Oryzias latipes: one gene and its partners. The protein of the gene in region 2 interacts with the protein of the main gene of each other region in a pairwise test. Links are inferred from orthologs where the notes say so. Each region holds a gene or a part of one and is shown on either strand. Other genes may lie near its edges. The genes, in order: cfap206, thrombospondin type-1 domain-containing protein 4, ammecr1, aqp1, natd1, stk16 and cpne7.

Region 1 (4,191 bases), on a different chromosome or scaffold from region 2:
TCATGCACATTCATGCTTAACGCTACTGTTGAGTAACCCTTGTGCTATCCTAGGCATTTTAACATTGGGAGTTGGGTCATCTAGACCCACTAGACAGTGCACTGAACCTTTTTTCTTCAATGATTTGTGATCTTCACTGGTGTCCATGGATTACATGAAATCTTTCCACCTTTATCCACCTTTGTCCTGGTAGGGAAAACACGTCAATGTAAGGGTGGGGTCATCTAAGATAGAACAAGGGTTTTAAGGGGTCTTGTCCAAAGGTGATGTTAATAGCTCAACATTGATGGTAATTCCCCCAGTATGTGTGACAGTACCATTGTTCATGAATCAAACCATGCTTTCCTGCGTGGTAGTCTCTCACCTTACCCGCCAGTTGTGGGATATTTGCTGGTCTAGAAATAGAGCTACATGCAGAAAGCTTTGTTTGAGGAGCGGTAGATGAAAATGAAACTAGGAAGTCATGTACACACCGGGCATTTGATGCGCTTTCTTGAACCAAGAGGACCTGGCTGCAGATACTAATGTAAATGGTAAATGGCGTATACTTATATACGTATATACTTATATACGCATTGATGGTGGCTCCGCTGCCAAACACAGGCGCCCGCCTACCACCAGAGGCAAGGTGGGGTTCAGTGTCTTGCCCAAGGACACTTCGACTCATGGGCGTGCAAGGCAGGAATCGAACCTGCAATTTTACGATCATGGGTCGACCGCCCTACCGCTGCACCACGGCCGCCACCAGTACTGAAAGTCCTTGACCAGAGCCAGAAGTGTCTGCCATATTGCAAAAAAAGAAACAACGTTACGCAGCACTTACAGTTACGGTTTTTCACATTTTAGCCTTTAATAAATGTTTTTTAACAATTCTGAACACTTTTGGATTAGGGTTAGGGACAGGGTTAGGTATACAATTTCTGCCTCCTACCGATGATGTCAGGAGCCATTTTGTTTGCAGCATGGTCTACCCTCTTGAACATGCATTTAGTCCATGGTGTTCACATTGAGTGAGCAGGGAGGGGTTTTTACTTTTTCTTTTGCTAATGTTTACTAGCGCATGTCTGCCACCAACAACTGGAAGAGGCTTGGTGCGAAATTTTGAAGCGTTGCAAATCTGGTGACTCTTCCCCCACACTTTATCTTTCACAGCAACAACCACAATAATTAATTTCTCCTCCATAATCAATCTTTAAATGATTGGTATTACTGTGAACTAAAGGGGACGTCATCCATACGTCACAACCAAATCCGAGTCCCTGATTGGTCAAAGTTTGACCAATTGAGCGATTTTTTTTATTTTTTTTTATTTTTTTTTTACATAGAGCCTGAATATGAGTGAATGGAGAAGTTTGAACATGGAGGCAAATAGAGTTTTCTTTGGAAATGGCCGGTTGAACGCATGTCGCCGAGCTTATAAACGTAGCTTAAGAAAAACAAAAAGTAAAACTTTGGAATCCTTAGACTCCGCCCCTTTGATTCTTAACGAGACACATCATGTTGATGCAGATAGATAGATAACTTTAATTATCCCCAATGGTTAAAACAGCTCTCCAGTAAGAACAGATATAAGACATGACAGTAACAACATTTTTACACAGTAAAAAACAGCGTGCGAAAAAACACATCAAATAATTAGCTAAATAAATAAAATAAATGTGGTGCTGGCAGGACGATCAGAAGGACTCAAAGACGAAATCTTTGTCACCTAGAGAAACTTTTTGTCTTTGATAAAAAGCCTTTCTTTCACGTGCTCCACGTTCTTCAGTCTTCATTCAAGGCCCTGTCATCAACGTGGTCTCGCCTTCTGGATGAGGCAGAGCTCCTGAACTTCCTTCACAAGATCACAGTGAACCTCCATCCATTCGTGGCCTCACAGGCGGAGGTTTTCTCTGAAGCGGAACTGGACGGCCAGCAGGAGGCAGCAGAGGTGAAGAGCGATGAGCAGAGGCTGGCAGAGTCCTCCGGTATGTCTGACATGCTTCACATGCAGCTTAGAGTCTCAAGCTACAGCCTGACGTTTCTTAGATGATCCTGTTCTTCTTTCTTGCCTTCCAGGTGAGCAGATTGATCCAGCCCAAGCAGAGTCAAAGGAATGGCTCATGCCTGAAGCCGCCTCCAACTGCAGTGAACTGCCACTTCAATATAACGGTTTCTGTGGTTACACACTGGTGAACAGTGATGGCCTTCTGCTTCCAGGTACCCATGAAACACAGCTTTTCTGTTATTATCTTCCGTCAAAGTGCAGCAGGTGAATAAAAGAACCCTTACACCGGAACTCATGCAGGAGTTTTGAGTTTTATCAGGCAGCATAAAGGAGAGAACTAAAGACAACTTCATCACCTGAAAGCATCTCATGAAGCTGCAGGTTGCACTGATTTTACCGATCAGTTATTGGAGTGGTCATTTTGGTACCTTCAGGAAAGCCAAATGTGTCTCCCATAGGATTGTGTCTCATTATAATACAATTATGTGAACAGTAAGTAGTCTACATGACCCACTTTCTAAACATTTGTGTGAAACCTCCTCCAAACGTGGCCTGCAGGCACTCATGACACAACCGTATGAGAATTATGTCAGAGGGATGATCCAGAAACTGTTAGTTATCATGTCCCACAGCAGTCCTGCACTGCAACAACCACATTGTTTTTGCAATCCTTTTTTTTCTCTTACAGTACCCTCAAGGAAGACATTTTGCCTGTGCCACATACTCAAAAACTTACTCAACATTTCAACCTAGTACCCGGTAAAAATGAATTTTGGGGATTTTGAATGACCCCCTCAAAACAAAATGATGTCAACACATCTTATAGGGCTGAAAAGAAAAAACAATCAAAATCCACTAAATAGACCAAAAAATGCATGTTTGGATATCCAAAGAAAGGTTTAAAATTATTATGGGATGGCCACAGGACTTACGGCTTGGCGCCCATCTTGTGGGAAAGGGTCAAAGTTATCGATATTTAAATTTTTCCACAATATGGGAAAAGAAAACTTTCGTTCAAGCGATCTTCACAAAACTTCACGAACACGCCGCCAGGTTAAGTCTACACCCACAACCAACATTTGTTGACCTTTGACCTCGGAAACAGGCTGCCATCTTGAAAATTCAAAAAAGAAGAAAAGAAGAACCACCTTTCGTACCAGCTATAACATTAAACTCCTCCTAGGAATTCCGATCCATCCCCTCCTTACTCCTCAAGCATCATTGGGAAGCTACTTGGTAAAAGTCACTGCTTTAAAATGTGTCGATTTTAAACGGCCTTAGCGTGGTGTGCTTGCAAATGTGGTCTTCACCTGTTCTTCGCATATTTTAACAAAAAGTTGTGAACATTTTATACATGAATGCTGGATGAAGCTGAACAAAACAGTGACTATATGTGGGCTTGGTTAGCAACAAAAAACAAAAGTAAATCCAAAAATGTACTTCTGCCGATTCTTCTAAAATGTTCCTAGATGTGTTCGTCACCCCCAGGTGACCAAAAAAATAAAAAATAAAATGGTCGCCATGGAGATAAAACCAACAGAAAAGCTGCCATTTGTCATGTGCAGCTCTGATCAGGGTGGCAGGGGCAGAGGGGAAGAGTCAGGGCTTTCAGCCAATGAGGGCGCCTCAGGAGGGGGCCACGAGGGCCGGGGTTGATAGCGCCCCCGTACCATACAATGCAACTCGCTGATTTCATTTGAGTTTATATCTTCAATCAGCAATATGCTGTTAGCCTTCAAGGGATTGAAATTAATGAAAACTTCTGTAATTGTCTCTTTTTTTTCAAGTTTTCCTTTGTTTTTTAGCACAAATGTGTTGTGATAAGTAAAGATTTTTAATCTAAACCAACTTCTTATGCAGATGGTGTAAAAATGCAATAAGGAGTAGCTTCTGTTTAGTGGTCTGTATAGTTTGCAGGATTTAGAGATGCGCTCTCTCTTTTAGGAAATCCACACATTGGAGTCCTGAAGCATGAGGGAAAGCTCTACGCTTTCAGCTCCAAAGAAGCCGCCCTGAACTTTGCCTCCAGTCCAGATGCTTTTGCTGCAGAGGTGGTGGAAAAAGCCAAACGCTCTCCGGAGCTCGTTCACCTCCTCAACCTCCATCAGCAGCTCTCCTGGATCAGTCCATTCTCTGAGGTTGGCAGCTGCTCCAACAGCAGTTCCACAACAACACAGAATACTGTTGATGTGTTAGCCTGGAGG
Region 2 (4,746 bases):
TGACGTCATGAAATGTGCGACACCCAAATGAGCGAAAGCCGGTGCCTCAGATATCAAGTTGTCCTAGTTATGGGCTGGAAAAGAACTCAGGAAAGGAATTAATATTTGATTAGAAAATTTGCTATTCAGTGTGCCAAAGGTAATCTATTATCATATATATGAATGTAGATTACTCAAAAAAGCTTAAGAATAGCATGCTATAGGCCCTTTAAATCAAGTTTGAAGCATTTGGATACAAATCCAAGACAAGTCTATAGTCCGAAAACTTCTAAAATAATATTCTATTGTCACAAATTGTTGTTAAACTACTTTAAACAACTTGTGGGGACACAATAACAGCCAGTGGTGTGCAAACGCTGTGTAAAGACAGTTTTCATTTATTTTTTCTGACATTGATGTCCTGGAGCTAAAAAAAAAAAGAGGAAAAAAAACAGATAAACTTTGTCCACTTGCTTATCTGTTTCTGCCTCAAGTTTCTGCAGGCGATACTGAAGTTCGAGTTTTTAAGTCCAAGTCCATGTCTCAGGTGGCATCTAACCTGCAGCTGCCACATAACTGGGAGCATTAATGAGCTGTGAGCAGTGACCCTGCAGCAACCACTGCTAACCTCTGCAGCCACCACTTTAACTTCTGCAGCACCACTGAGGTGCTATTTTGGTCTGCTCCTAAAACTTTTTACAAGATACTTATTGTATTCATAAATCTGGAGGTCCTTTGAACTTTGCCATAAACACACGCATCACAATTTATTAAAAAAAAAGGTGACTTTTAACATGAGCAGACACATAACTTTTCATTGGAAAAGAAGCTTTCACTACTGTTTTTGAGTGATGGATTAAATAATATGGCTTTAGATTAAATTTTAATTATTTTAACTATGATGGTATAATTTATATTTTGTTTTCCTGAGCAAAAAAGGCTTCTCAAACCCTCTTGCCTTTAAAAGGATTTAAGCGTCTCTACAATGAGATCCAGCAATGAATGATTACAGCGATTAAAAAAAGGTCAACTAGACTTTTACGTAGCATTACATCATTTGGCAAAGTCTTGTCTCTGCCACTCAACCAAAACAGAACCTGGTGATTGTCTCATGACAGCATATTTTAAGGTAAAAGAGTTTCTGCTGGTGTGTGCGCGACATTTTGGTGCCAGATAAGCCTTAAAATCACTTTATCTGTTGCTTCGACTTAAATAACACACCCTCCAGCAGTGCACGCCCCTTTGCATGATTTTGCCTTAATCCCTGTTTGAGCAATCAGTAACATTTACTGTCACCGGGTTAAATAGCTCATCAAAGCATGACAGTATTTGGTCTCCAGGAGAGGATAACGATAAGAAAAAGGTTATTTCTAACTTTCTCTGTTCTGGTCTCATGCTTTGGGACACACAGAAAGGGAGAGGGGGGGGTGTCAACCTGACTTTTCAGTCATGTGTTGACCTAACTGGATGATCTAATGACTCACCTTCCTCTTGGCAGCTTTGGTTGTGGAGGTTGTGACCTCCACAGAAGCCAACAGCACACAGAGCCTGGAGGGATGCAGAACAGAGGGGGAGAGAAGTGGCAGAATCACAGGATTAAAAATGACAGCAGCTGAATGGGGTTCTTTTTCTAAAGCACATCAGTACTCCATGACCTAAAAGTGCAGCTAGAAGCCATTCACGTTCACACATAAGACTCTCATTATTCTAAGCCTATGTGATCTGTCTCAAATATTTTCCTTCAATTTACATTATTTAGCTGAGGTATAGGAATGTTCCATTCACTAAATAACCTGTTTCACCTGAATGGAAAGGTGTTTGTCGGGAAAAGTGATGACAAATCTCACGATGACCTCGGGGTTCAAACGTCTCAATCAATCTGGGAAACTCTTGGAAGTGCTTACAAGCACTTGCGTGTTTTCCCTCTGCACACACCCGGAGGATGTGGTTTTAACACTAATATGCAATAACCACACACAGGCTTAATGAGCCAACATCGAAAACAATCTGGGGTAGGACGGTTTTCCTGCAGGGAGGTCAGGAATTGGGATAACTCTAAGAGAAAATTAAGTTTTTTCTTTTTCTGTAGAAGTGTCAAAAGCTCACTTGTTTGTGTGCGAATGTCGGATCTATTTAGAAAAATCTCACCCATACACAAACATTCTGAGACAAGTGCAGTGGAAACAAGTGGAATAACGTCCTGCAGTCTGCCAAGAAATTGCTCTGACCGTGCAAGTACAGCCGGGCTCGCTGGGATAAAGTTTGCAGCGCTCACCAAGAGAACCAAACCATCACCGCAATCTCCAGTCCGCAAGCCACATGTAGGCAGTGTAATTGGTTCGTTTTACCCAATGTGGTGCACCGCCGCGGTCTCTGGAAGCTTCCCCACGCTGCAATACACAATTACCCCCGAAAAACACAGAGAAAAGTCCCGGACAGCCCGACACAACAGAGCTGCTCAGGCCGAAATAACGACCCCCTACGCGGTTCCACGTTTCCACGGCCGCTACTGCAGAGTAAACTCACTGAGAGGACAGGGAGAGGGTGAGAGAAACCTTTAACTGACAAATACTTTCAGAAAAGTCCAATTTGAGTGGAAACACACAGTTTTTACTCAAAAATGCGCGCCTCTGGGTAAATTCCAACCATTTAACGCAGCGAGCGGCGCGCAACAAGTGAGCCTCGCGCGTAAAAGTTTCCCGCACCAACAAAACCACCGTAGAGACAGTCAGCACAAACACTCAAGGAAAGATGCAAATCCACATGCGGCGACAAGAATCAGTCAGCAGCTGGACGGGACCGACTTTTACCTGATCAGTGAACCGAGCTGCATGCTCCAAAATTCTCCTGCACACTGACACTCTCAGTGATGCTTTGGGTCCAAATCTGAGCTTCGTTCCAGCCTGAAAGACATGCGAGGACTGCTCCTGCTCTGTCACCGGGAGGAGTTCCGTGTGTTCCGTTCAGTCCACAACTTTTCACAGGTCCTTCCTTATTATAAACTCCCGTGACGCATGAAAACCAGGTGGGGGCACAAAGAGACGCAGGGAGAGGGGAGACACAAAATGGACAGATTATACAACTCTCGCTCGGGCTCCTTCTCACTCTCACATGCACAAATTATACACTCCCCCTCCTCTCCCTCACGCCTTCCTACCCTCTCTCTCTGTCATACTCACAAACTGTTGGTCCTGACTAAGCAATAATAATCCTCAGAGCCTCGTTTTAGTTGCACAATCGAGAAAGAAAAAATAACGTTTCCTTGTGCGTTTTCTCCCACACTGAATAATAATGAGCGCAGACGATCCTGAGCCTTCTTCAAGAAAGTTGGGAAGGGACTATCTCATGAGTCTGACACTCTGACAAGCTCAAATGATGTGGTTTACAGTTTGAATATGATTCATAGTCCCCCCCCCCCCCATTCTTGAAAAACAAGCAGATATTTTTACATGAGAAAAACATGCATTCTGTGCACTGTTTAATCCCATTGAAACACCAGAAACCAAACATGCTTCAGCAATTTGGTGTTTGGGATAAGTGCACCCAGGAGACAAGCCACTTCTGAGGCTGAAATGTGCCTCTCTGAGTGTGTATGATTACATATGTGTGTGTGTGAGGGCTGAAACAGATGTGAAAAACCATCTGATGCCATCTCATTTAAACATGATGAAATGACAATCCACACAGCCCTGCCCAGCCAGACACTTTACTAAAATGAGTAACTTAGGTCAAATGACCCTCAGGAGACATGGTGACACACACACACACACACACAGGAAAAAATTATAGGTTCTTTACAAGATTTCTCCAGCGGCACGTGTACAAGAAAGGGCTGGTGATTTCTAAACCAATAAAACGTAACTCAGTTTGAAGGAAAAGGCTCAGGATGCACACAAGCCTTTATGGAGTTTATACTGTTCACTCAAATCAGGACTGGCATCAATGTAATATTTGAAAGATGACATGTTTTAAGAAATTACTCCAAAATGCTTAATTTTATATTGAAGTCTCCTTAGTCTTTTAATCATGATTAGGCCGTTTTAGGCTGAATTTAAAAAAAAAAACACGTGTCATTTTCTAGGACATAGTTTCTGCAAAGCAGCAGGAATCATTCAGAAATTCACCTCTGAGTTGTGGGCGGCACTGTTGGTGCAGAGTAAGCCTGCCCTCCTTTCCCATCATCCCTTTGTTTACCCGCTGTGCTGCTAGCTTACAGCCCCTCAGGAATTGGTGGCGTAGGACCTAAATTGGAGGAGAGATCAGGTGTGGTGGCAGTAACCATAACATATAATAAATACACTGAAACATAACACACACAAAAAACATGGAGAAACAAAAGAGGGTGAAAAAGCAGAACAGTTTACCTAAAAACCAGGCACTTAAATGGACTGAGGGCAATTAACTGAAATGAAGACAACTGTGGATGGTGATTAAGCTGAAACTGGTCTGACTCAGAAAGGGCAACCAAGAACATGGCCAAAACATAATATCATTACTAAACCACAGAACCCTTACAGCACCCCTCCCCAAAATGGTAGATCCCAGATGCCCCCAACACCTGAGAAGAAGGGACCTGGAGGAAAAAAACAAGTCCAGAAAACTGTGATGATGCCAGCAGCTAAACAGATGTGAAGGGTTCCAGAGAACCCCTTCCTCAGGAACAGGCACGAGGAAGAAAAGCAGTCCAGATGACTCTCCCCAGTGACAGGACACAAGGGGAGCAGTCCTGGTGATCCCCTTCTGGGTCACCGGGGCTGCTCCTCACCG
Region 3 (4,953 bases), on a different chromosome or scaffold from region 2:
TTTAAATTGGCTGTTTGATAAAAAAAAAAAAAAAAAAAAACAATGTCACCAACAGCCTAAATACAGCAAATTTAGAGAGTAGTATGCAAGCATCACCAGAGGAAAAAATGACTTCTGACAATCTGAAGCTTGTTTTTTTTTTATGAACTCATGCTAAAGAAGACTGTGTCTGTGACGGATGCCCGAGTTGGTTTTAGTGCTTCAATAATTCAATCTGACAATGCCCCCCAGTGAAGGACGTGTCGAGGACACTGCAGACCACAACTACCAATGTCTCAGACCTGACACAGTTTTCACATGAGCTTTCAACACTTCTCACCGTGTGGAGTCGATCCAGTCGATCCAGCCCCGACTACTTAGACAAAAATGTTGTCTGGAGTGCTGTGGTTTTCCCACAGAAGTTGACACTAATGTGGTTCTTCAGTAGGGTGCTGCACCCTAACTGTGACATGAAGTTATCCAAAATTTATAACATTTCTGTTACTACTTCAATATCCATAAAGAAGTACTTAGCTTGTTGTACTTTACTTTAAAATCTGCCCTAAAGATAAAAGACCACAGTTCGTGCTTTTCTTATTCATGAACCCATAATTATGTTGTTACTATATTTTTAAACGTTTTAAATGATCAATAAAGCATTATTTGAATCAAACTTTCCTTTTATAATCAATCTGGCAGCTGATATATTCAACTTTGAGCTTCTTGAGTGTTAAAAAAAAGACTCGTGGAGACCCAGTTGGGGACAAAATGTTTTACTAGAGAGGCCGGAACAACCGTTGAGAACAAAAGCCTCCACATGACTAAGAAGTTACTAAGAAGATGTCATGTATGTTACACAGATGGCGTCACAAACACCGCATGCTCCGTTTGAACAACGTTCCAATCACGCTTAGCTAAAAAACCCAATTGCATTAGGAGAGCTTAGAACTGCCAAGGATTTATTTAGCAAGTACCACCTTTTCTTTGTTGGCCAATGCTAGACTCAGCTGAAATTGTACCCCTCTGACTTCGACGACGAACTTGCCGAACCCAGATGAACCCTGAAAGTCTAAATTACTTTTTTTTTTTTTTGACAAATACATCAGAAGGACTTTGATGAAACCTGCTTACTAAGTGTAATAAACTACAAACTGGATTAGCTTTTACTTTAATGCTAGTTCGGCTTTTAGCTAACACTGAGGATAGCTTTGCACGATTAAAAAAAACACCCGGCTTAATTATTAAGATTAATTTTAGGTTGTTTTTTTTTATATTTATCGTGTTATGTTTACGTGTAAATGATAAATTAAAAGAAATGTTTGATGTTATTTTCGGTTTTCCTTTAGAGTTTATGGTGGGTAACCGATGCTAAACATTATGCTAAATAAGCAAAGCAAGAATTGTTCAATGGAATATTAAAATAAAGTCAACTTCTTTGACAAATTCTGACAATAATTTCAAAAATAATACTACGCGTAAGTCTGTAACACATTTTGCAAATGTGTTTGCATTGTTAAATAACGTGGAGCGCTTGTTTAGTTGTAGGCCTGAGCCATTACTTCGACTAGGCCCGGTTTCTAACTTAGCCCATTTAGGGAGCTTTTTAAGTTAAATTCACGAAAGTTAAATATAGTTTGGATGTGACAGTTTGTGCTTCCGAGACTTTAGAAGAACCAGAACCCAATTAGAACATGTACAAATAAAACTAGAGTTAGCTTTGGCATGCAGCTAAATGACAAAAGACAGAACAAATACTCACTAGGGATCATTTGTAAACCTGGGTGTTCTCGGAGGTTGGTATCCGTACAGATGGCAATAAAGCACGTCAAAACAGAAGCAGCACATCTCCGCCGAGACCACCATTTTTCTGCCGCCACTTCCTGAACCTGGTCCCGGGCTGAGATTCGGGGAGAGGCCGGATGTATTGTAACCGGCCGGGGCTGGAGACAGCGCGTTCGTGCCACCGCCGCTGCTGCCACAGCCACTACTGCCGCCGCCGCCGCTAACGGTTCCCCCCAGGCCGTTGACTCGGCTCAAGTTCGCCGTAGATGCAACAGTCGCGGAGGAGCCAATCCCCAACTCCGAACCGCAATGTCCGCTTCCTGCCACCCCGCTTCCCGCCCCCACCCCGGCGGGACCCCCCGACCCGGGAGATCCCGACAGTTTCTGCTTCTTCACCCCGCAGCACCCGGCCGCCATCTTGGAACAATCTGCACCGACACACCGCTTCCGACCCATAACCGTCACCGCGGGAAGGGTGGGGTGGGGTGGGGTGGGGGGGAACGCCGAGCAGACGTAGAAATCCCACTGCGTTGATTACGTTCGACGGACAAAACTCCACTTTCACCGGTTTATTTATGTGTTTATTTGTTTATTCAGACGATGGCTGCTGTGATGGGAAACTGCAGTGTCACTGGAGCGTTGTCTTTAAAAACAGACGTGATTTCACTACACAAAAGCCCATAGCAGGAGGAGCCGGTCAGGCTCTGAGCCGCCGCCACAACAGCAAGGCCGAGCCTAAATCTGTACCCCCTTATCCAAAACGACCCCTAGTCCGCGGCCTTGAAAGCACACGAGTTCAGGGAAAACACGGTCCAAACAGGCCGCAGATGACAGCACCCGCGCGGTCCAGATGTGAAGCCAACAGCCGGTGCGCCGTAGCCCCGCCGCAGCGCGCCTCTCCAAGTGGAAGCCGGGAGCTGAGAGCTCGAGTGCGCAGGACCCATAAGCTTCACAGATTGCGCGCAGTGTCTCAGACGGCGTCGCTTCTCATTGCGCCATTCTAGCAACTGCCTCGCCAACTTCTAATTATACAACAGGCCCAGAACGCCAGAGTTCCGGTTCCAGACGCTGAGGCAAACGCACGGGAAATGGCATCTGACTATCTATGCGGAGTTGGTATGGCACCATGCAGCGCGTCATCTCTGTGCCGTTAGCCCACAATCTGCACCTGCATCGTGACTGTTGCGTTTCAAATAATAACCAAAAAGCAGATCTCAATCACATCCCTCCCCTCTCCTCAAACGCAGAGCTGAAAGTTTTCGGGGCAGGTCTGGTTGGAGGCTGTCATCCGTCGGTGGGGATGCACACAGAGGAGCATTCTAGTCCCCGAACCGGCAGAAATCCGCTGGGTTTGGAACCACTCCTTCCGCATCCGTCTGTCAGCTGCTACAGTTCTGTGCTGTCCGGGTTTGGGGGGAAAAAAAAGAAAAGCCCTGCGATCAGGCTGTGGGCATCGGTGTCGTGTGCACGCCGGAGCCGGATTCTGAAACGGCTCTGCGCTCAGCTGCTACACATTATGCGTTGCTTTCAGGGGTATCAAGTTTGCAATTGTGGAGAAATCTACGGTGCAGTGGAAGGATGCGCGCCCGTGACGTCCTCGTGCGTACGCTGCGTGCATGGAAAAAGTAATGGGTCCCGCACTTCGTGAAGTGGGGAGAGGAGCCGGTAGGGGTTTCACTGACTGTGAAATGCGCCTCTCAGAGCATTGCACCGCTCTGTGATTTAGAGCTTCGATTACGCGCAGACTTCCACGAGATCATCAGAAAGGACTTTCTGCTTAGAGGCCAAAAAAATCTGTGCCGGTCTCAGGGAATGTGCAGAGCTATGGCCTCATGACCACATCTCATCTGGAATCATGCTGGGGCTGGACATAAATATCTTGGAAATTATTCTGCGGTTGATGCTTTGTAGGATCAAATACCTCCACCATCTAGGGTGCAGAGCTAACACAGTGTACATTAGACCCACTCCAATAAAAAAATGTGTTTTTGGTCTTTTTAACATGTTCTCGTGACACTTTTCTGGTGATGGAGGACAAATATAAAGAAAATTAAGCTTTAGAATGAGCATTTCTGAGTATTTCTTTGTTCAAATCATTTGGATTCAATAGCAGGTGAAAAGAAAAATCCAGCTTGAAAATGATTGTATTTGTGACAGAAAATACACTGGGTGGGCCACAAGGTCCCTGCTCCGCTCCATTCCAATGCTGTTTTCAGCGGGAATGTGACACGTCTGGCCCACGGTGTTCACACTGGACTGTCCCTATGGAAGCGCTTGCAAATCTAATGAATCTTGCTCCAGGCTATTTCTCTCACTGTTCCAATATATCAAAGACTTAATGTCACATTTTGGTAAAGAAGAAATTATTCATTTCTTCTCTACAATCAAAGTTTAAACAGTTGTCACTTCCATAAAATGAAATGGGATTCCATTCAATCACCACTACCACTGCTGACTGGTCAAAGTTCAACTTGGTTTAACTTGCAACACTCATTCAATGGATCCATGTTTTGTATGTAGAGCCCAAAAACGGTTGTAGATTCCTGCTTCAGGTGAACGTGAGAGTTTTGAACACAGAAACTCAAGACGCGCATTTATATTAACTCTTTATTGGAAGCTGTCAGTTGAACACGTGTTGCCGAGGAAAATGGGAATGTAGCTTGATGCCTCAACTTAGACGACTACACCCATGTACATCTTTGTTTTCATCATCCGAGCTGGCATCTGCCTCAAAAACTGTACGACTCCAATATTTCTCGTCATTAATGTTGTTAGGTTGGGGTTTGTGAGAAGCTGTAAGCTAGTGGGACAGCGTGTAAACAGAGAACTCTCAGTAACTCAGAGGCCTCAGCTTCTCCCAGCTGAGGCGGTTAACTAAGGTGAAAGGTGAAACCATTGTTATCCCAACAGTATTTTGAGACAGTAATCCATGCCTTCATCACATCATGCTTGATTACTGTAACTCACTTTGTTTCGGGGTCAACTAGTCGTCCCTCTCACGTCTGCAGCTTGTTCAAAACACAAGAGGGACCACATCACACTAATTCTGGCTTCCCTTCACTGGCTGCCTGTTCATTTTATAGCTCACTTTAAGATCCTCTTTTTTTTTTTTAATCTTTGAGTGATCTCGCTCCGCCTTATCCCGCTGAGCTTCTCTATCCCTCCAGTCCAGTCCAACCGGTGTCTCAGGTC
Region 4 (4,263 bases), on a different chromosome or scaffold from region 2:
TGTTAGTTAGTTCATTTACTTAGACGTATCTCATTAACTTACTGAAAAATAAGGCCTTATTGGAAAAAAATTACACATCTTTATGCATATGTTTTTCCAGAAATGAACAAACTTCATGACATTGTCCATACCTCAGTACCCAAAAATATCACTCCTCCGATTCCTCTTCAAATTATGCCACATCTTATGATCATCAGTTCCACTTTGCTTATGACTTATGAATTATTGAAAGAAATGATGAATTTCTCTCTCAGACATTAATCACTACAGTTCAACAGCATGAGTCACTATTCTGAAAGACATCTGGATGCAACTTGTTATCTCGCAGTTCTGTCACGGCAACCATGCATAGCGTAGCGCTGCGGCGTGTCGCACAAGTCAGAAGAGTTAATAATTAAAGGATAATAAGTTTGACAGAACACTTTCCATTGTCTGATTTTGATGCTGTATTGAAACTTTAAAAATTAACAGATTCAGATGACTTCATAAAACAAAATGACAAGAACTGAAAGTTTGGATGAAGATAAAAGTGTTTGGCAGCAAAAATTTAAGGAGTTGAATACGAAAGAACAATAATAAGGAATATTTACACTTGAAATTGTACAAAACCTACTTTTATTTTACAAATTTGTTTTATTTTGCTGCTAAATTTGACTGATTGATTCTTGGTATTTACTTTTCCTTTTTAGTTCTGAAATTGTACTTACTACATATACAAATACCTGTGTTTCTGCATTGTTACTTGTAAAAAAAAAAAGCAATAAATCTAAATCTATTCTAAATCTAATCTAAATATGATGGTTATCATATATGAAAACTAATGCAAAAGTCCAGTGACAGGGTCATTTCTAAGAATATGTCATTTGAAAAGGATTTTTTCTATCAGATAAGCAGTGAAAGGGCGGACTGCCTTTTGTTGGAGTCCCTCTTTAAGTGGGGGGGGGCTCCAGAACAGGCAGTGCCGTTCATGGAGTTGATCATTCACTTTCTTGCTCAACAATACAACTAGTAATTGTGCAAAAACGTCAATCAAGTTAATAAATCACAGTTGCTCTATTAGAAATGGAAAAGTTCTACTTATGCAATTCTGATTAAAATATCATTTAGGACCTTTAACTTCAGTTTCTTCATTCAGTTACTTTTTTGTGCCTAAAATATCTTAATTGTATTACTTCATGTTGCTCAAAATTGGAGTAGAAGCCAGGGGGAATGTGGAGCAAAGGGCTGTTTGGAGCTGTCTCCTGCCTTCCTGTATGTTGTCAGTGATCCACGCTCACATTCGTAAGGCGCAAAATTGCACAAAATTGTCATTTAAGGCAAATTTCAGCTAAAAAACGCTTCCCTCTGCTCCTGGAAAGTTCTGACTGGGAGCTCTCTCTCAGTGGGGAGTTTCATTTAGAAACGCCGGTACGAAAGGACATTTTATCTTTGGGTACAGCTATTTAAAGACTCTGTTTTGCTATTCACAAAAGTCCAAAGACCGGAGAGAGTGCTGCACAGGGAGGTGCTGGGAGAAAGCTGGAGGACGGAGAGGGGAGAAGGGAGGGTGAGGAAGCAGAGGGAGGGATGGGAGAGACCGGCCTTTTGGGTTTCTCATTAGTTCAGCGTGGTTCTCCCTTTCAGTTTTTTTTTTTTTTTCTTTAAACGCCCGCCCACCAACCATTATCAGCACCGGCCTTATATATGCAGCCTGATGCTGTTGTTTACGATTACACACACTTTGCAGCTCAAACCGTCACACAGCCACCACCATGAGGGAGTTCAAGAGCAAAGATTTTTGGAGGGCCGTTCTAGCCGAACTGGTCGGCATGGCCTTCTTTATTTTTCTCAGCATCTCTGCAGCCATTGGAAACTCCAACAACGCCAACCCAGACCAGGAGGTGAAGGTGTCGCTGACCTTTGGATTAGCCATCGCCACTCTGGCCCAGAGCTTAGGCCACATCAGTGGAGCCCACCTGAATCCCGCCGTCACCCTTGGCATGCTTGCCAGCTGCCAGATCAGCGTCTTCAAGGCAGTCATGTACATAGTGGCTCAGATGCTGGGTTCAGCCCTCGCCAGCGGCATCGTTTACGGGACGCGTCCTTCCAACACCAGCGCCCTAGGGCTCAACTCTGTGAGTAAAACTTTTTATATCCCCTTTTCTTGACAGCAGAATTTGTTTACCTAAATAGGATGCACGACAGCATGGAGAGGTCGCCATCCTTTAAACGCACACCTGTCCACGTTGCATTTTAAGGACAGTGCATTTAAATGCAACGTGGAGAGGTGTGCAGGTAAAGGACGGCCCCTATAGACAGAACCACCGTTTTTTGTTTGGCAAAAAAAATCTATTAAAAACTTGTAGCTTCAGTGATTTTATGACTCTACTACTGCAATAATATGATAGCATCAAGATGTCAGCATAAAGCCAGTGAAGGGAAACTTTCCATTCTTTCCATTCCAATGTCTGAATTTTGTCCCCCCCCCCTAAAAACCCACAGCTTAACGGTGTCACCCCCAGCCAAGGAGTGGGCATTGAGCTTCTGGCCACCTTCCAGCTGGTGCTGTGTGTCATTGCAGTCACTGATAAAAGGAGGCGTGACGTCATGGGCTCTGCACCCCTGGCCATTGGCCTCTCAGTTTGCCTGGGACATTTGGCAGCTGTAAGTTACACCATCCCCAAAAATGTTTGTTCAAGATTGACCCCAGTGGATTTTAGTGTGGTCCACCAGGTGAATAAACCGCCTTTCATTGCTCCAGAATGACTTCATGTCTTTTTTTTTTTTTGTGATCATAGATCAGCTACACAGGCTGTGGCATCAATCCCGCCCGCTCCTTTGGCCCAGCTTTGATCCTGAACGATTTTACGGACCACTGGGTAAGTTGGAGGGAGAATGAGCCCCAGCAGACCTCAGACAGCTGAATGTGGGCTATTTAGCAAACCCAAGTAACTCACTACACACATAAGTTAATCAGTGTTTGTGGCATTTCTGTGACACAGTAAGGACTTGAACGTTACAAAGTCAGTGCAAAAGCTGATATGAGTTATCTGTCCTAGGTGTACTGGGTGGGCCCGATGTGTGGTGGTGTAGCGGCGGCTCTGGTGTACGATTTCCTGCTGTCCCCCAAGTTTGATGACTTCCCTGATCGCATGAAGGTCCTAGTCAGCGGTCCAGTGGGAGACTACGATGTAAATGGAGGAAACGAGTCTGCGACTGTGGAGATGTCTTCAAAGTAGCTGCAGTTGTTTTTTCCCCCCACGTCCTTGTAAATGTCTATACTAAAAAAAAAATCAATATGTACAAATTTAAAATTCAAAAGCTTTGAAATTTAGTGCAGAGTTTTAACGTTGTTTTGAAAAAAACCAAGGAGGATTGTCGTCTACGGGTCAGCTAGAGAGGCTGTCTAAAGTCACTCCTTTTATCAACGCAGCACAAGCTCTTTATCAAACCGCTGCTGAAGTTTGAAACCCCGGGCGGGACGTTTGCTGATCCTTTTTCTCCATATCAGTATTGTATGTTGAAGCCTATTTTGTATATTACCTGTTTCACTTATTCTTATTCCTGATGGATATTATATTGTGTGCACTCTTTTGTCTAAAGTTTTTTACGTAAAATAAAACACAATGTGAGAATTTGTTGTTGTCGTTTCATTTATTATTCAAATTTTCTTTAATGTTTTTTGTAATACTATGAATTCATCCCAAACACAAAAACTGCATGACATAACATGCAAAAAGTTACCAACAACCTGATAGAGTTCCTAGAAACACACAACTCTCAGCTGTAAGTTTATGATCTGTCAGATTAGATTATGCACGAGTGATTATGAAAATAAAACACAGCCAAAGAAATGATCCGCCTTACTCACGACTGCCCTTACGGACGGATACGGGCCTGCACAAAATTTGAGTGAACCTGTAGAGTGAAATAAAAAATGTTAATGAACATTCTTTTAGAGAACACTTATGCAACACGTAAGGGTGAAATAGGTGGGAAGCAGGTGAACGCTAAGGACTGCACAGGGAACCTTGTTGGTGCAATAGATAAGTGCGTGCTCCTTGCTCCTTGTCTAATCAGGAAATTAGACAGATTGTAGTTCATGTGGACATCTTACAGGGGTCCCACGGGCACGTATTTATCACATGCACAGCTCATGCATGCAGCATTAGTGCACAGTCAGTAAGGAGCCGGAATTTTTTACCCCGCTGATGACTAGAGTGTGGTGTAAAGACATCGTACGACAGCATCACGCTTGCGTCATAAGTCAATCAGTTTTTTATT
Region 5 (4,653 bases), on a different chromosome or scaffold from region 2:
GTAACAAGAATGTGAATATTTAACAAATCCAAAATAACCTGCTTGAAAATTCCCACCAGGCATGGTTTGCTTTGAATGAAGCAATAAAATAAGCACAAAAACTCCACTTGAAAAAAAAAAAACCTGACAGTGTCTTGGGCATTAGGCGCTTGCTCAAAATGTTTCCAAAGGGACTTCTTATTGCGGCTGGCCATCACAGCAGACAGTTTAATCTTGCATGCCAAGGCGTGTTGAGTGGCCTGAGGTTTTTGACTTTTTTTTTTAACTAAACATACAAGATTGTTAACAGCAAAATATCTACAAGAAAAAAAATACTTTCACCTCAATAATCCTATTTGTCAAATGTTGAACTCATTTTAATGTCAGTGGCATATGAACCACCAGTTCGGTTGCAGATTGCAAATGAAATGTCACTGGAAGGAAAAAGTAATAATCATCACAGCACATAATGGAAATGCCCTCAGTTCAAGAGTGTGTTTTTGGTTAGAGACGGCAAACGTTGAAATGCCAGGATGAGCAATAAACAGAGAAATTGACAGGACATCAATAGTTTACAAATCCCTGCACCTTTGTCAATGAAATCATTAATTTAAAACTCCAATAAAACACCATATGTGTCTTTTACAGTGGAAAATAATTACCAAATTAGGCTTTGAACATTTTCTTCCACTTTAAAATTGTATTTATTAATAAAATGTGACTCGCCAAATGTAGGTGAAAGATGACAAAAGAAAAAAAAAATTAAATGGCTGCAGTTTCATGATTAATTTGAAGACTTTAGCACAAAAAAAACAAAACTTACATCAGGAGGCAAAAATGAGATATAACACACAGGGGGCAAATTTGAAAGTCTACAAAATCTAAATTTAAGTGGAGCACCCATTGTTGCCATTATACCCATATCAAACAAGGATAAGAAATGCATGTATTTCCAAGGAAAGACATAAAAAAAAAACAAGTCCTATCAGATCTGATTTAAATCTGCACTTGTTTCAAGTCAGCTTTGAGGGTAAACTCTGGAAGATTCAGGCACCACCCTTCAGTCGCTCCGCAACAACAAGACCGAACGGAGCTTCTCCTTTACTCCAGTCCCCCTCCCTTTGTGATGGATGTCAATGGCCCTTTGACAGGACGGTCAACCCTCACGGCAGCGTGAGATCATAGAGATGGTTTTGTCTCTGGATTCCCTCAATGACATGTTCAACAACACTTGGGAGGCGGTGTGTGGAATTTTGTCCAGCGGCTGCAAGGCATGCCGTCACAGTATTTCTCCCTCCCACGAGTCTCTGTCTCGATCCCTTCTTCAGGGCTGTGTTGGGTCATTGATAGATGTGTTCAAAGTACTGAGGCTGAGGGTTTTCTTTGACATACTTCTGAATGTACCAGCAGGTCAGGTGAGCCTTCAGGTCCTCTTCCACTACAAAATCCATGGCTGCCTGCCGTTACACAAAGCACAGTTAGTGAACTGCCAAATTATCAACCAAAAAGGACTTTGTCGTTCAGAATGACTCAAGAATTCATTCATCTATTCTACCTTGGCTAGATGTTTGGCAATGCCTCTCCCTCGGTATGCATCTGGAACTTCTGTGTGCTGCAAATCCACCGTTTTCTTCCCGACATACTCGTACAGAAGAACTGCACGATCATGGGATCCTGAGGAATGAGACAAAAGCTGAGCCTTTCTTGTGTTTGCTAAGTTCTGGTCCACCCAGAAAAATTTGACCCTTTGACCTTATAAAGCGAAGAGACACACATAACACAAAAAGCCGGTAGAACAACATTACACTAGTCATAAAGACCCTTTTAAAGACACACTCCGTGTGTTTTTAACATGTTGCATTTCTGACTATTTCTTTATTCAAATTGTTAGGAATCAGGAGCAAATCCAGTTTGAAAAAGCTTGTGGGTGTGACGTAAAAGCTACTACGGCAAGCGACAAGCTCCCTGTTCGGCTCCATTCTGATGCATCCACTTGTATATGACTAAATCCGTTGATGTCTGCATCTCTCTTGTCTGAACTGGCATCTAGCTCTAAACTTTACAGCTGGATAGTTCCTCATTTTCTTGCCATTTTTGTTGCACCGCAAATGTTAGGCCGGGGCTGTAGGCTACTGGGAGAGCGTTGTACTTACTCGCACCAACAGTTCCGCCCACAACTCGGAGGCAAAATGCTAATGAACTACTGTCGTTCTGCAGAAAATATGTCCCCCCCCCAAAAAAAACCCAATACTGATTTTTTTTTTTAATTTTATTTACTATTATTTTTTTGCTTAAAGTGGCACAGTCATGGTTAAAAAAAGCACGGGGAATGCTTTGGACATAGATCAAGAGTTGCTTAGAGTGGGACTTTAAAGGTCCTACACGTTATAGTGTCTCACACATCAAGTACAAAGATGTAGTTTGAAAGTTTACGATAAATTAAAACTTTAGTCAATAAAGATGTGAAAAAAATAGAATGTATTACTGTTCAGTGAAATAAGGCATTCAATATATAAATACACTTTTCACAATTGACTTGGAGAAACTGATGAGATCTTTATGTAATTGAGTTTGCTATAAAAACTGAATAAATTAAAAAAAAAACATATTAAAGTTGAAAAAAAAGCAAATATTTAAGGCAGTATTTGTAAATGGTAAAAACATAAATTATTTTAAATTACAGCCCACCATGCATATAAACCAGCAAAGTAATATTGCTAAAACACTTAGAAATGTAATAGGTGGGAAAAGAAACAGCTTTTCTTTTAAGATTGGAGCAAAAAGTAAGCATCTGTTGAATGAAGCGACTAAAGTTTTTTTCCCCTCAAAGAGAGGGAAAAACCGCCTAGACATTCATGGTTTATGAACTACATTTCTGATAGAAAAATAAAAGGAGTAACAGCGACTATGTGGTGCCGAACAACGCAGCGCAGCTGTGGCAGAAATGGCAGCTGGAGTTCCCCACAAGGTAAAAATGTTAGCAAGCAGACAAAGCTAACCTTCAAGCCAACCTCGCGCTAGCGCGAGCGTGCTAATGTTTACATTCGGAACTTACCATTGAGCCTAATGACAAACTGCCGGCGCTTTTTATCGTGCTCCACCTGGATTTGAGAGCCGCTGGTGTCAAAGGCATGCGCTTGAGCCATTATTGGGGGTATTACAGCTACTCTACGGTGCTGATAACCAGAAATGGCTACATGAGACGACGATGAACGTACTGAAGCAAAACACTTCATCCAACACAATCAGCTGTGAGGTCACGTGGGGACTAGCCAATCAGCTCGATGTACGTCAGAGATGAGAAATTAAGGTACGAAAATAAATGTTTTCTGGTTAAAGAATTACAGTAGTTAAAAATCACAATAAAAACTACACAAATCTATATAGTTAAAAATACTTATAATAAATAGAAACATATAAATAAAAATACGAAATCTATTTTTCTTAAACCATTTTTTTTCGTAAAATAACACAATCTTCTACTTCTGACAAACAACATAAAAATCGACGATTTTTAAAGTGAAATTAATGCAAAAGTTTGTATATGTGTCACCTTTATTGTTTTAATTGGAGGATGTGATATCCCGACGTCCACTTTATCTAGGTTTCTTTTTCTATTTCTGTGAGTAATATTCTACTTTATTATTTGTTTCGCAGGTTTAATTCTTTTTCCTCTCTGTAAAATTTGGTCTGGCCAATTCAAATATTGTAAGCTGAAAAAATGTTTCATTAATGACTAATTATTTAATTTTTTTAAATGATTATGATGCAATGAAATCATATTAATTGGATTTAAAAATAATGTTTTTGCAGTTTTTGTATTGTTAGTTGTTCTTGTGTAGTTTGTTTACGTGTCACAAGGTTACGTAAAATTGTTTAATATCAGTTTCACAACATTAATATAATAACTTGAAATTCAATAAAAGGACATATAGGGTTATTTTTACATTGAATAAATCACAGTAATATTTTTTTAATGTAAAAGGAATGCAATTAAATTATCTAACCAGAATTCAAAAGTTTCTTGTAATGTTTTTCAAAATGATAGTGAAGAACATCCCTTTTTCCTTTTCTTTTATAAATTTTGAGAAATGTTATCATGGCATTTTTACAACATTTTGTATTTATGTATATTTTTCAAGACTTTCCTTTATTTCCGTTTGTTTTAGTATATATTTTAATTAAAAAAAATTATACAATTTGTTTTGTTTAGGCTGTTGTATCATGTTTGCATCATTTAAAAACAATCTTGAAATAAGGGTTTTATGAACATGGCTTTAGATTATCTTTATTTAAGCACAAAGAAATGGATTACAATAGCTCAAATTAGGCCAGATTACCTTTCATAGCCACGATTGCAATGTCTTCTCTTCGTCACTACTCTCGGGATCTTTTTCGGGGTAAAATCCCTTTTCTGTCCCTGCATAAACACAGACATCTCCACGTATTGAACTCTAAGTCGGTGCGTCAAGTTCACTAATGTTTTGTGTGCAAATCCTTTTAATCTGTTGGTCTAATCCAACAAAACTCTAATGAGGTTTGTCAAATCTTTGTGGGGTTTTGTGAAGGTAGCTCTCTGCTTCTTCAGGTTTTGCCGTCTGCAATGATGTGAGACTTCTTCCCTTTGTTTTTGTCTTATTCGTTTTTTAGTTTTCGCTGGAAGGGTAGTTTAAT
Region 6 (3,514 bases), on a different chromosome or scaffold from region 2:
ACAATTGTGCGACATATTAGTCAATTATGAATTTTGTTAAGTCAGTGATTGCTTTAGATTCTCTCAGATGCTGTAGATCACATATGTCAAACTAAAGGCCCGGGGGCCAAACGTGGCCCTCCATGTCATTTTATGTGGCCCCCGAGAGCATGAAAATTTTTGATTTCTTAAAATGAAAAATAAAAATTGGTGTGTATTTATATATATATATATAGGGGGAATCTGCCTTGAAATATCAGATTGGGCAACTATACATTAGGACTTAAACACTGTCCATATAATCTAACCTGACAGAATCAAATTTAAAAGGATTTATGATAGAGTAACAAGCAAACATATGTTTTCTATGCAACTGTAATTGTCACTTTCAAAAGTTATAATAAATAAATAAATTAGTTGTTTAACATTAAGGAGTAGTTACATGTATGTTTCATTACATTTAGTTACATGTATAAGTTATATCCGGCCCTTTGAGGACAGCTGCTATACTGATGTGGCCCTCGGTGGAAATGAGTTTGGCACCCCTGCTGTAGATCGAAGAGAATCCACAACAATCAGCTGCAACAATAAAAAAAGAAGCAGGTAATTCAGCTAACATAGTGTTATAAGGATGTGTGAGAGCAAACAGCTGAAATGTTAAGGTCAAGGTTTTTGTGTGGAACTGCTTTCATTTTAATCCCAGAGGCCTTTACAGCAACAGCACTGACTTGTGGCAGCTGGATACTACTGCTTAGAAAATGCAGGTGAATCTACGAGCCCTTCAAATCTTAAATACAATGATTTTTATCATTTGTACCGTAGTTAGTTTATATATTCAACAAACTGTTTAAAGCTTTAATTTGCTTTACTTAAAAGGTTTTAAAAGCACCATCATATTTAAATAACCACTCACACCAGGTGTGTAGATATTTTCTCTTTATTTGTGTTTTAAAATATGAATAAAGGACTTTTCATCATCATCAAAAGCACACAATAATATCTGGTACCTTTACCAATACGAATAGAACTTTTTGTCTTTCGGATGCAGCATTAAACCTTTTTCAATTTGCGGTTCACAACAACACAACAGTTCATTATACTGGCTAAATCCAAACTTTGCAATAACACATAGTATCCTCAAACATTGTATAGTACTCCCAAAATACAGTTCAAATATGATGTCTACAAGCTAACTGAGCAGAATATTTTAAAGGTGGTCAAACAGTCCTAAATTACTGCACTACAGTCACAAAAAAAGCATTCAATTTAAATGCCCAAAAGGTTTTTACTGTCAAGACATTTTAAAGGTAGAGTTTAGGTTCAGAAACGAAAGCCAGAGGATTATGGGAGAACCCTGAGAGAACACAAGTCTGATTATTACAAAGAAAACAAGAATAAAACACAGGAATCAGTGGAATGGAAAAGACTGTTTAAAAACACAATACAAAGTGAAGTGACAGAAAAATATATTCCCTCAATTATTTCCAACTTAAAATAAACAGATGTTACAGTTTGTAACAATTGTGATCGAAGGACAGCCTTGTTTTTTTTTAAATAAAAGAATAAACATGGTGCTCCTCTAGACAGAACATGAACAGTCACTGGAATGAACATAGAAGCTTCCTGAAATATAAAAGACAAAGTGAGCAGCATTTAACTCCTAAAATTAATCCCTAAAGGAGTAAACGAACAATTAGCTATTGTATTTTATAACTCATTTATGTTATGTACAATTACTAAAGCTCATTGACACAACCGTGTTGTAATGGTGGGCTAAATAAATAAAACTGAATTATTGAATTACATGAGCCCAGAAGTGAAAGTAATCCGAAATCCAAAGCAGAGCTTTAATGTGTACGTTTTCGTTTCATATCAAAATCTAAAAATACTACTTTAAACAAAAGTTTATACATTTTTAGAAGAATAGTTGTTAAAGCTGCTGCCACTAGAGGGTAGACGTCAACTTAGAAGAACTAATAAAAAGGATAATAGTGAGCCTTGCTCCATCTGGGGGACAAAAATAGTTGCAGTTTCTTGCATTCACTGAATTATTTCTTCACTTTTCTCCACGGAATTAACCGAAACGAAACAACCACATAAATATGCTTGGATTTGATTCTCTTGCTTTCAAACAAAGCTGGTCAAATCTGTCTCCACTGCAAATTTTAAAGTGAGGTGGATCCAAAACACATGGAGCCATCAGACACATGAGCAGCACCTCATTTAGGTCTCAGGAAGAACAAATACACAGATTTTTCAAAATAAAGGTTGCCAAAAAAAGAAGCATTTTTTTTCTGACATCACCAGAAATAATTGCACTGTGGAAAATATTTATAGATTTAAGGCATTTCACATTCTTCAAATAATTTAGTGAGTTAAAATAAAGGCTAAAAGAAAGCTTTGATCAGATAAAGTGGAGGATGAGGCTTTTGTTGCCAACCGTCCCATGGAAAACCAGCTTTTTAGATTTAATTCTTCAAACAAACAAAAAAAGAGAAGTTCACTGAGGCGTGTAAAGGTTTGGTCTCTGCATACAGTGGATCCGATCAGACCATGTTGGTTTCGGTGTTCGGACTGCGATTTTGCAGGTCTTGAACCTGGTCAAGCACCCAACTGATGTTCGGTCGCTCTTGGGGATTTGAGACCATTATGGAGCTGAGCAGCACCTGCAGACCTGATGAATACCTGTGAACAGGTCAAGAGAATATCAGCCAACACATCCTCCATTCACAATTTAGCTTATACTGAGGGGAAAAAACGTGACATGAATCACAAAAACCCAGCATGTTAGGGGATTCACTTTAGCTTGGGTGTACTCTGCTTAGTGACAGCAGCATTTAAATGCCACTGGTGACCATAAACCCTCATTTTATAGTCATCATAAGAAATTTCTTGCAAGTTTTTCTTCCAAAATAAATCCAAAGTCTGTTTATTTTTTTGATTTTTTTTTTAACAAGCACTAAAAACGTCAGCAAAATATTTTTTCTTTTCTTAAACTTCTGAAAGGAATAAAGGAGGTTAACAGATCGACAAAACCCTCCAATAATGACCTGCAAGATGGCGGGATGCTGACTGGATTCTGGACAGCCAGAGCAACGCTGTCGCCCTTCTGAAACACCAGATCATAAGGGCCCTCCAACATCATCATGCAGTACAGCACACAGCCGAGCGACTGAAGGAAAAGCAGAATCAAAGGAGAGGCCGGCTTCAGTCATTTTCTCCAGAGGTTTCAGAAAAAGCTGCTCCAGAAAAAGGCAGGTACGAGTCCTTGAGGACAGTGGACTTGCAACGTTACCCAGATATCAGTGCGCTCATCTATGATGCAGTGGCTCTCTACGTGGAAGAGCTCAGGAGCTCTGTAGGAAATGGTGCAGCGCTGGGCCGCCCAGTCCTGTAGGGTCATGGCCTCTCTGGATCCTTTCACCTGGGAAGGAAAAATGGGTCATTAAAAGTAAAGGTTCATTTAAAGATGTGAAGGTTTAGGAGGAAGTTAGTTTTTAAACAAATAGCTGACATTTAAAGCTGGTTTGCTAAG
Region 7 (4,191 bases), on a different chromosome or scaffold from region 2:
ACTCTGAAGTGAATTTCAAATGAACTACTGCCACTCTGCAGAAACTATGTCCTAGAAAATGATCCTAAAACGGCATAATCACAATAAAAAAATCACTGGGAACACTTTTACAATAGATCAAATGATAATCGGAGTGAGAAAAAATTCCTTAAGATTATGTGACTAAAGTTTGTTAGATGTGCACTTTTTTTTTTTTTTTTTACACAGCTTCTGTTCAGTTTTGGTCAAATACAAAAAACAATAGTATGAATGTCCTAACTTTGCTGGCTTTACATATGTTCCCCTTTCATGACTCAATGAGAAAATAAAAGGCCTAAGCTGTAAGGATGAGGCGCTAATTTTTTTGTGTGTCTTTGGAGCTACAGAATGCCCTGAATGCTATAATTAGCTATACAGCGCTCCCCTGACATTCAATAGAAGAATCTGCATAAATCAGGAGTCAGAGTGTTAATCCTCATCTGGCTTAATTTCAACAGATGAGAGCATCTTTCTCTGAAGTGCGCCAAGCTCAAATTTTCCTATAATTAAGTGATATTTTCCACAAAATTCATAGCCTTTACCAGCACGTTCACTCACAGTGACAAGAATTTCCCCATGAAAGAAATGTTCTGTGTTGCCTCATGCAGCAAATTCTACCCCCTGCTGTTTCTTCCAAAGCCATTATGCTCTCCACTTTATTTGGAAGTGTCTGCCATCTTGGTGGAGACCCCATCTCTGCACGAGTTTGCCTCAAATTCTTTGTAATGAGCCTTTGAAGAATCAAAAGAACAAGTCTGTGCAAAAGATGCTCCGAATCACCACTGTTACTATGACATCCAATCAAAACAGTGCACCACAACTGACATGCCAATTAGGCACAGCTTTGTGCTTTGCAGGACAAAAAATTCAAAATTTCAAAAGGAAACAAAAAGGACCTCCTTTGAACCTGAAGCTACAATGGATATCTCAAGTCATGTGCTTGGAAAAAGTTGTTATTCAACTCATAGGTGAATGTAGTGACAAAGGCATGAAGAATACACCACTTTTTCATGTGAAAACATCTCAACTTGCTCTGTTTGGCTCAAACGCTGACTTGTTTTTGTGAATTTAGACTGCAACTCAGTCCTTCTTTCTCTTAACGAGTTCTTTTGCACATTATTCTCTCTAAAATAAAGCATGTATCACTTCCGGGATCAGGTTAGAAATGAATAATGTCGGCAACAGATTTCAATAATGCAAGCAGACACTAAACATGGCACGCTTTCATCATCTGTGACAGCATTTTCACATTTTACTGAGCCGCATCTCATTTGAGCTGTAAGTGATGCCTTCTCCTAAAACATTACAGAGTATGTCAGGTGCTAAATACATTTCTGTGAAAAACTAAATGTGAGGGAAAAGTGGTCTGTATCCCACTTCCATTAGCTTCATAACAACCTGGCAAGCCGAAATGCAATATGCTGCAGGAGTCTGTATTTGCACTCCACATTTCCCATTATGGTCCTTTTGCTGTGGTATGGATGGAGTGGCTCATTTCAGTGAGAAGAGAGTCCAGCGAAATGGCAAACGTGGAGCACTCTGTAACTGTACTCTGCATCAAAAGAGACACTCACAGTTCCCGCAGGCTCCACAGAGCCTTTTCTGAGAAACAGAAGATTGACACACCTGTCATAGTCTTGACAGATCTCACCAACGGCTATCAGCGCCTTCAGGTACTCGTTAGGCTGGTAGGGGTTGATGTAGTGCAATGAGCAGCTGTTCCTTGGGTCTCCGTTGGAGGCTGTGAAGTCAATAGCAACCTGGTAGGAAGAAAATGAAAAAAGGAAACTGTGAACAATACAACAAAATCAATTCTTCTTATTGCTCCTTGTCTGCAGCAAAGACTTTCACTTGGGCTCTTATCACCTTATGAGGAGGCTGAAAATGTCTAATGGTCAAGTAATTCATATGATCGAAGAAAGAAACTTGCATTCTTTTACACCCACATCAGTTTGAAAGTTAGAGCTCACATGCTCTGTGGCAGCTTTCCTCATGATTATTATTCAGCGCTTCTGTGATCCAGTAAAAATGGAAGTTAACACCACAGAGAGCAGACCAAAGGTTGCATACTGAATAAAATTTCTACATGTTCCATGAAGCGTCCTACATGCAATAAAAATAATTACACTTAGACATAAGACAACTGAACTCACCTCGATTTGAGACAACATAATCAGAAAAAAAACTTTGAATGTATAATAAATTGTTCAGTTTACCGTAAAATGAATCTGGCATCCTCCCATGATGTAATCTAAGAAGGAGTACACTCTGTGGAGCTGCAGGAAAAACAAAAATATGCAATTTTATTCAGGCCAAATCTCATTTAAAATAAATCCTAAAGTCAATGTCACCAAGTTATTTCCAGAAATCTTTATGGTCCTGCTTCTGTAAAGATAAAGTTTGATTTAAAAGCCATATAATTTAGTTTCACAGAGTAAACTACAATCTAAAAATGGGATGTTGCAAGTTCAAATCCACCAAAAACTGTTGAAAATGAGGGCCAATGTTTCCCTGCTTGACACTCAGTGCTAAAGGATTGGATTCCTGGGTTAAACCCCCAAACGGTTCCTGTAACTGCACCTCACTGCTCCCCCCAGGGGATGGTTCACATGCAGAGAACAAATTTCATACACCCAGGTGTGTGACAACTGATGCGACTTTGACTACAACTCATGTTCTGTGCAGTTGATGTGTAACCAGAGAAGATTTTTACCTTGAGGTCGTTGAGGATGACAACCCCTGAATTTTTATAATTCCTCTTCTTCTGCTTGTATTTGGGGTTCACACAGTCCCATGTCACCTTCAGTGGAAAAAGTCAGAAATCAGAAACAGCAGAGAAAGGTGTTCTGGACCATGTATTCTATCAGCAGATTATCCTAAATCCTTATTAGGTGGGGAAATGGGTTACAGGGTCACTGAGGCGTTATCAAGACAAACAACCACAGACACATTCAGAGACACTTCTACAGCCAATTTCAAATCACCACTTAACCTGACATTCATGTTCTTGGACTGTGTGAGGACACCAGAGGACCCAGTCAAACCCAACAGAAAAATCCAAAAGGGAACAGAATTCAATAAAAGCCATATATATTGAAAATGGATGAAGCAGATATATTGATGCCTAGCCTCCACTTTGTCTCACCTTTAAATATTTACTGACCTTATTTCCACTGGAAATTTTCTGCATTTCCCTGAAAGTGGCGTAGAACTCGCCGATGAAATCGTGCTTCCCTCTGGAGTCATAATCCCACACTAGGCACTGTGCCACACACAGAAAACACTGCTTACTCCCGCTGAATTGCTAATTGGATCTCACTTGAGTCCTAGAATCTATAGTGATAGTTCCCTCTAAACAAAAGGAAAAACAGTAGTGCAAAAGCAAACCTTGAGCTTCCGGTCCTCATTACAGCTGCACAGAGACATGAGCGAGACTTTGAATGGCTCCCACACTGGATTCAGGTTGTTTTTGATTACCTGTTGGATTAGCCCCACACTGTTAGCAAGGCCTACTGCTAATCAAGCTATTGAAAGGAAAATCCAAAGACTTTACCTCAGTTCTGTGGACGAGCTGCTCGGTTCCATCATCATTGATTTTAAATATTTCCAAAAAAGGGTCTGACTTGCTAAAGAGGTCCTGCAGAAACAAAGGGAAAAAATGAGCAAAGCAATGTCTATTACATATTTGCATCCCTTAAAAAAACCTGTTAGTTGCAACCTTTATTAAGGGTTACACTTCCTGTCATCAATCTGTTTACACTCTCTCCCACTAGCTTGCAGCCCCTCACACCCTCAACCTAACATTAGCGGCTCAACAGAAATGGCGAGCAATATTGGAGCCGTACAGCTTTGAGCCAGATGCCAACTCGGACAAGGAAAACAAAGACATCTATTTGTCTGCAAATGAATGCATCAGAATTGAGGGGAGCCTGCCGATTGTAGCTTCTTCATCACAGCACCAAACTTTTTCAAACACCTTTTTTTTTTACGTCTATTTCTCATTCACAATGATTTGAACAAAGAAATACTCAGAAATGCAATTCTAATCTTAGTTTTCTTTATATATGTCCTCCATCATCAGAAAAATGCCACCAAACATGTTAAAAACACCAAAAACACGATTTTCATCTGAGTACGTCTTTAATGGAATTTTCTTTCCAAACAGGTTTTATA

The links.
Region 1: the proteins of thrombospondin type-1 domain-containing protein 4 (region 2) and cfap206 interact in binary tests that used the Homo sapiens proteins (3 or more experiments, as listed by UniProt). The two-hybrid records come from large-scale screens. The link is inferred for Oryzias latipes from reciprocal best matches to the Homo sapiens genes ADAMTSL4 and CFAP206.
Region 3: the proteins of thrombospondin type-1 domain-containing protein 4 (region 2) and ammecr1 interact in binary tests that used the Homo sapiens proteins (3 or more experiments, as listed by UniProt). The two-hybrid records come from large-scale screens. The link is inferred for Oryzias latipes from reciprocal best matches to the Homo sapiens genes ADAMTSL4 and AMMECR1.
Region 4: the proteins of thrombospondin type-1 domain-containing protein 4 (region 2) and aqp1 interact in a two-hybrid assay, tested with the Homo sapiens proteins (2 studies listed by BioGRID and IntAct). The link is inferred for Oryzias latipes from reciprocal best matches to the Homo sapiens genes ADAMTSL4 and AQP1.
Region 5: the proteins of thrombospondin type-1 domain-containing protein 4 (region 2) and natd1 interact in binary tests that used the Homo sapiens proteins (3 or more experiments, as listed by UniProt). The two-hybrid records come from large-scale screens. The link is inferred for Oryzias latipes from reciprocal best matches to the Homo sapiens genes ADAMTSL4 and NATD1.
Region 6: the proteins of thrombospondin type-1 domain-containing protein 4 (region 2) and stk16 interact in binary tests that used the Homo sapiens proteins (3 or more experiments, as listed by UniProt). The two-hybrid records come from large-scale screens. The link is inferred for Oryzias latipes from reciprocal best matches to the Homo sapiens genes ADAMTSL4 and STK16.
Region 7: the proteins of thrombospondin type-1 domain-containing protein 4 (region 2) and cpne7 interact in binary tests that used the Homo sapiens proteins (3 or more experiments, as listed by UniProt). The two-hybrid records come from large-scale screens. The link is inferred for Oryzias latipes from reciprocal best matches to the Homo sapiens genes ADAMTSL4 and CPNE7.

What each region holds. Positions count from the first base shown.
Region 1 is NC_019865.2:27,270,260-27,274,450, reverse strand, and holds part of cfap206 (cilia- and flagella-associated protein 206), read left to right. Parts: intron 1-1,768; coding exon 1,769-1,967; intron 1,968-2,058; coding exon 2,059-2,199; intron 2,200-3,931; coding exon 3,932-4,125; intron 4,126-4,191. UniProt on the Homo sapiens protein: Essential for sperm motility and is involved in the regulation of the beating frequency of motile cilia on the epithelial cells of the respiratory tract. Required for the establishment of radial spokes in sperm flagella.
Region 2 is NC_019874.2:19,007,758-19,012,503, reverse strand, and holds the start of thrombospondin type-1 domain-containing protein 4, read right to left. Parts: upstream 3,103-4,746; 5' UTR 2,813-3,102; coding exon 2,790-2,812; intron 1,528-2,789; coding exon 1,464-1,527; intron 1-1,463. UniProt on the Homo sapiens protein: Positive regulation of apoptosis. May facilitate FBN1 microfibril biogenesis.
Region 3 is NC_019872.2:19,529,731-19,534,683, forward strand, and holds the start of ammecr1 (AMME syndrome candidate gene 1 protein), read right to left. Parts: upstream 3,318-4,953; 5' UTR 2,218-3,317; coding exon 1,739-2,217; intron 1-1,738.
Region 4 is NC_019875.2:28,339,412-28,343,674, forward strand, and holds aqp1 (aquaporin-1), read left to right. Parts: upstream 1-1,689; 5' UTR 1,690-1,751; coding exon 1,752-2,114; intron 2,115-2,481; coding exon 2,482-2,643; intron 2,644-2,777; coding exon 2,778-2,858; intron 2,859-3,038; coding exon 3,039-3,218; 3' UTR 3,219-3,614; downstream 3,615-4,263. UniProt on the Homo sapiens protein: Forms a water channel that facilitates the transport of water across cell membranes, playing a crucial role in water homeostasis in various tissues.
Region 5 is NC_019866.2:14,551,781-14,556,433, reverse strand, and holds the start of natd1 (protein NATD1), read right to left. Parts: upstream 3,236-4,653; 5' UTR 3,216-3,235; coding exon 3,035-3,215; intron 1,654-3,034; coding exon 1,535-1,653; intron 1,437-1,534; coding exon 1,320-1,436; 3' UTR 1-1,319.
Region 6 is NC_019861.2:14,423,035-14,426,548, reverse strand, and holds the end of stk16 (serine/threonine-protein kinase 16), read right to left. Parts: intron 3,404-3,514; coding exon 3,275-3,403; intron 3,152-3,274; coding exon 3,030-3,151; intron 2,665-3,029; coding exon 2,526-2,664; 3' UTR 901-2,525; downstream 1-900. UniProt on the Homo sapiens protein: Membrane-associated protein kinase that phosphorylates on serine and threonine residues. In vitro substrates include DRG1, ENO1 and EIF4EBP1. Also autophosphorylates. May be involved in secretory vesicle trafficking or intracellular signaling.
Region 7 is NC_019861.2:20,465,514-20,469,704, reverse strand, and holds part of cpne7 (copine-7), read right to left. Parts: intron 3,656-4,191; coding exon 3,572-3,655; intron 3,496-3,571; coding exon 3,406-3,495; intron 3,281-3,405; coding exon 3,182-3,280; intron 2,819-3,181; coding exon 2,732-2,818; intron 2,295-2,731; coding exon 2,235-2,294; intron 1,779-2,234; coding exon 1,645-1,778; intron 1-1,644. UniProt on the Homo sapiens protein: Calcium-dependent phospholipid-binding protein that may play a role in calcium-mediated intracellular processes.